Kluyveromyces lactis: one gene and its partner. The protein of the gene in region 1 purifies or fractionates together with the protein of each later gene. This does not show direct contact. Links are inferred from orthologs where the notes say so. Each region holds a gene or a part of one and is shown in the gene's direction. Other genes may lie near its edges.

What was found. Proteins that work in one complex are often made in the same cells at the same time.
Region 2: the proteins of LIP2 (region 1) and GCV3 purify together in Saccharomyces cerevisiae (affinity purification with mass spectrometry; 3 studies listed by BioGRID). This does not show direct contact. The link is inferred for Kluyveromyces lactis from reciprocal best matches to the Saccharomyces cerevisiae genes LIP2 and GCV3.

What each region holds. Positions count from the first base shown.
Region 1 is NC_006040.1:1,582,114-1,585,072, forward strand, and holds LIP2 (lipoyl(octanoyl) transferase LIP2), read left to right. Parts: upstream 1-1,460; coding exon 1,461-2,459; downstream 2,460-2,959. Other genes in the region: RKM2 (protein-lysine N-methyltransferase), read right to left, coding at 1-1,215; KLLA0_D18799g (uncharacterized protein), read right to left, coding at 2,531-2,959. UniProt on the Saccharomyces cerevisiae protein: Catalyzes the transfer of endogenously produced octanoic acid from octanoyl-acyl-carrier-protein onto the lipoyl domains of lipoate-dependent enzymes. Lipoyl-ACP can also act as a substrate although octanoyl-ACP is likely to be the physiological substrate.
Region 2 is NC_006037.1:323,991-326,231, reverse strand, and holds GCV3 (glycine decarboxylase subunit H), read left to right. Parts: upstream 1-1,213; coding exon 1,214-1,741; downstream 1,742-2,241. Other genes in the region: BOL1 (Bol1p), read right to left, coding at 1,871-2,233. UniProt on the Saccharomyces cerevisiae protein: The glycine cleavage system (glycine decarboxylase complex) catalyzes the degradation of glycine. The H protein shuttles the methylamine group of glycine from the P protein to the T protein.

The sequences.
Region 1 (2,959 bases):
TTCTTCCGTAATATAGCCCAGAGCGAATCTCTCTGTTTTTCGGTGATCACGGTGAACTAGCAAAGAGACAGCGACCAGAATTCTGTAACTTATCTCCCCTTTAGATATAGTGAAGTCCTTCCAGTATCCGAGATTATCCAAAAATGTAATATCCTTCGGGTCAGTAAACATATTACAAAATTCTGGAGTCAAATCAATGAAATTCCACTCATTGCATAAAGTCGTGAAGCCATATTCAGCCAATAAGAAATCATTCGAATGAGCACCATAGTTGAGAAATAACTCTTCGCCGGCCTTCTCATACTGGTGATTTCCAACCCTAATCGAGAATTCTCCCAACCCGTAGACATTCCTTTTCAATTTATTGATTTCCGGATAACAATGCAGACTCGCCTTATTAGTATGGTTCAAATAATCGACAAAGGGAACCATAGTGAAATAATCTTTGACATCAGTTTTTAATGGAATTTCCATATATAGGCATCTCGAGTTAATCACAAAATAAATGTGTACAAAATGCGAGAACAACTCATCCATGCCAATAGTTGAATGAGTAAATTCTTCGGTCCATTTTTTAAGAAATCCTCGTACAGCATTCCAATCAGCTAGCAAAAGTTGACTAATCCTCTTTTCGTGCTCACTTGACGCCGTTGGAAGACTTTCAAGTAAAATTGATGCATTTTTATCCGAACGGACTAGACTCCATTTTGTAGGAATCGATCTCAATTCGTCGTCGGTAGGAAATATGTCGAAAAACGGTTTCCACCATGACGTTATTGTACCGTTAGACCAATTCGGAAGCAGAATCCATTCTGCAAGAATAAAAAGACATAGTAGCTGAAAAGAATTGAAATCAGTAAGTTCCTCTTGATTGAAAATTCCATAAGCTTTTATTCTGGGATCTTCTTGGCCCTGGTCATCAAACAATTCCGTTGCAGCTTCACCAATTGATATATTATCATTGGTAAAGATATTCTTATTAAATTTTGCTATCCAATGCAACACCGTGTGAAAATTTAACTGATGAGAACTAGGAATGGAAATTAATACTTCATTTTTGGTCAACATACCGTTGCCAAGCCTGATCCCTCGGCCAACTAACGGATCTTCAAATACCTCGATCTTTGGATTAACGTAGCATTTTCCAGACCCATTTAGCCACTCTAGTAATCTAGAAATCTTACCATCTGAAAACTTGGTTTCATCATTTCTCATTGTTGAACCCCGTGATATGATCTATCTACTGAAGCTACGTCATGAAACATGTTTCCTGTATGCTCATCGCTTCATTGTGCTTCATATTCTTAAATTTCAGCGATGTCTTTGTTAAGAGAAAAAAAACAGAACAGTACATTTCTGAATTTCCGCATAAACAAAGGCCCCAATTCAGATAATGACATAGGTGCCTTAACCACCTGCAATTATTCTGCGTTAGCCAGATTCCAGAGAGTACTCTAAGTATGTCTAAATTGATGCTGATAGGTACTAATTACTGGTACCCTTCAAAATTTGGATGTACAATTTTCCGTAAAGTCCGGTTTCAATCCACTCTGAAATGCACATCAACCGCCCGTACGCAACCAATTGATCCTTCAGCTAAAACAATCAGACACTTGCAATTCGTTAAAGAGATCCCATTTGAAACGGGGATCGATATTCAGGAGAAATTTGTACGCGCTCATCTTGACATTAAGCAACTACAATCCAAGATAAAGAGAGAAATGACAAACTTACAAAAAGAACATAATGCCGAGATACAATTGAATTTTCACGAACAAATGATACTAGATAATATCAATCAGATGAAGCCAAATCCAATTGTGCTTACATTTCAATTTGAACCCACTTATACTGGCGGAAAACGTGTTAAGAAACAAATTACGGATGAACAGATCGCCAGATATGAAGGCTTTATTCCATCAAAACAGAAATATAATAAAAAACCCAAATTTGTGCAGGCTGAAAGAGGTGGCCAAGTGACGTTTCATGGTCCAGGGCAAATAGTCGCATACATCATTCTCGATTTAAAGACATTTCAGAACTTGCCGGCCAAATGCTTAGTTTCAACTATTGATAACGCGGCCATGAACGCATTAAAAGTAGTTCCAAAATTCCAAGGATCAGATGAACCATTGAATTTAATTACCCAAAAAACCAATGATACCGGCGTTTGGGTCTCTAATCAAGAAAAAATTGCCAGTATTGGCATACATGTCAGAAGATCTGTCACCTCACATGGTATTTGTATTAACGTTGACCCAGACTTGTCTTATATGAACAGTTTTACCATGTGCGGGCTGTCAGAAAAAAAAGCCACTTCCATAAGAGAACAAGTCCCTGATAGTTCTACCTCTGTTAATGATGTAGCAGTTGCATTCGTGAATCAATTAGCTAAACTTTTGGGCATTACCACAGTAGAGAGAATTCAACTTGATGATTTACCCATTTACACTGATTAGACGCATCACCCGTAGTCTGCAAGAAATGCTTAGATTAATTTTTACTTTAAGAATGATATTTATGATTAGTTTTACTTTGTTGCATATTTAAACACAGCAGCCAAAGCCCCTGCCGAGATAGAACTTAATAAAAGCAAGTTGGTTGTAGTACTGGGTAATTTACTACCTGTTGATACAGCTGGTAATTGTGCAGTACCATCGTCTTTCGTCTTTACCGGTTTTGACTTTGCTTGTTGTAATTGGGTATTTTTAAATATTTCGACCTCAAGACGTGTCTGTAATTCATCAACTTCACTTTTTAGCTGTTTGATCTTAGTATTTTTCAAGTCATTATTTTCCTTTAGGGAGTCATTAAGCTTCTTATTTTCTTGTTTTAATGCCTGTATTTCTTCATTATGGATGGTGGTTAGTTCTGCCTGTTGATTCGCAAGCTTCTGTTTAACGCTTTTCTGAAGTTTGACTAGTTGTGAGTCCGCTTGCTCCATTTTCATCTTTGATAG
Region 2 (2,241 bases), on another chromosome or scaffold:
TTTTTTCTTTTCAATTGTGGAAACGCTAATAATAAGAAAAGAGAAAAAGCAAAGAATTATAGTTCCACCTGAAACTCCACTTGAAAGGAATCCTTTTCGAGGCTACTTTGTACACGTTAGTTTCAGAATGGCTCCAGATCAGAAATTGCACTTTCTACCTGTCCACAAAATCTAACGCAATTCAAGACATAAATAACTCTAATAGTGAATTATTTTATTCAGAATCATTTTACACAAAAAAAAAAAAATACAAGAAAGCCTAAAAGCTTACGGATCAATCATGGTTTAGATAACATATTTCTATTAATTGTACTTTAATTCAGTCAATCTGCACTCGTGTTAAAACCAGTTGTTCAAAGTGTAACTGTTCGTTGTTGGATTTTTTTTTTTTACTTTGGATTTGGCTGACATGTCATTTCAGTTTGACGTTTTCGGTGTCTATGGGATATTTGTCAAAGAAAAACAAAAAGAAAAAAGGCTTTACAGAACTACAACAGTACAAAAGAAGTGATAATCCTAGTGTTCTCTTTTTTTAAGGTCTCACGTCGGAAAGGCTCGAGCTAACTTGATTTCGATTAGATTTTGTGTTTTGCATTCGCGTATCGAAATGTGATCTTCACAACAGCTACTGTTTTCTCTCTTGATAAATCACGCTCGCAATATCTAATCTTTAACTGCACGATGGATATCACTCGGTAAGCCAAAAAATTAGATAATAGATAAACCGGAACGATGCAAAACGAACCACAAATGTAGCAACATCAGCATTGCATACCGGTATCCACATATCTAAAGATATATACAAATCACGTGGGAACGTGATATTTTTCTTCCCGTATCTGCCCCAGAGAATCATCATGCGGCCGGTATACCGTCTCTGTTACTTTTTCACGGCTCGAAGGAGGGTTTCGTCCACCCGCTTTCTGGCCAAGTCAAACAGCGAGATTCTGACTTGGCAATGCCCACACTCCAAGTCAATTTTACGTCCGGTCAAAAAAATACGACTTTCTCGGTCATGTGACTGTCTTCTTCTTTTCTCATGGTCAATCAGAACCTCGGAAAGAACCCTTGATGTTATTTAAGTATATATGATGATTATGTTAGAAGTTTTCAATAGATACACATTGCAACATTGGTGTTTTAAAGTTAAGTTTACCATTGAATGAGTAACATTCATCTGATTTTAGAACAGTGACGCCCCTGGTAAGAAGCTATGTTCTCTTCATCTATTTCTCGTACTGCTTTTGTCTCTTCTCGTATTGCGAAGAGCACAGTTTCTCGTTTGTTCTTGAGAGCTCAATCGACAAATGCTTTAAACCAATCTCAATTGCCTTTCACTTTCTCTCAAACCGGTCCAAAAACCGTTAAATACACTACACAGCATGAATGGGTTGCTGCTCATCCAGATGGATCTGCCTTCATTGGTATTACCAAGTACGCAGCCGATGCACTTGGTGATGCCACTTACGTCGAATTGCCAGATGTTGATACCGAATTAGAGGCTGGCGATTCGTTTGGTTCTGTTGAATCCGTCAAGTCTGCATCTGAAATTTACTCTCCTGTCGCTGGTACTGTCGTGGAAGTGAACGAAGCTTTGTCTGACTCGCCACAATTGATCAACAGCGACCCAGCTGGTGAAGGTTGGATCATCAAGATTAAAATTAACGATGAGGCAGATTTACAATCCGATGAATTGTTATCGCTAGAGCAGTACGAAGCTCATCTAAAGGAAGACCATTGATTCAATAATATCCAGCTACATGTTTAATGCGGCGTGTTTATATGTGTGCGTTGGTATCACGATATATGTATACACTTAAGTATCAAGTTTTTAAACTATTTTATCGGTTCAGGTTGATTTTAACGTACGTCAATTTTCAGCATGCTTCTTGGCATACTCCTCCGGAGTTTTTGTCGTTAGCTGTAAAGCATGTACCCCATCATCAAATTCCTCATTTAGCATCCCATATACCATTCGGTGTCTCATGGGAAGGCTTTTCCCTTTGAACAATCCGCTCACTATCTCTAGTCTGAAGTGTGATTCAATCTTGTTCGCAGCATCTTGAATCCCATGATGACCGCTATGCTTGTATGAGTCATTGAAAATAGCAAAATGTGAAAGATCTGGGAAAGTATCTTTCACTTTTTTGGTGATCCTCTGAGCAATGGGACCATCTATGCTTCTGTTCGCTGCTACCGACGACATCTGGCGAAATATTGATCTAAAACTCATTCAATTAT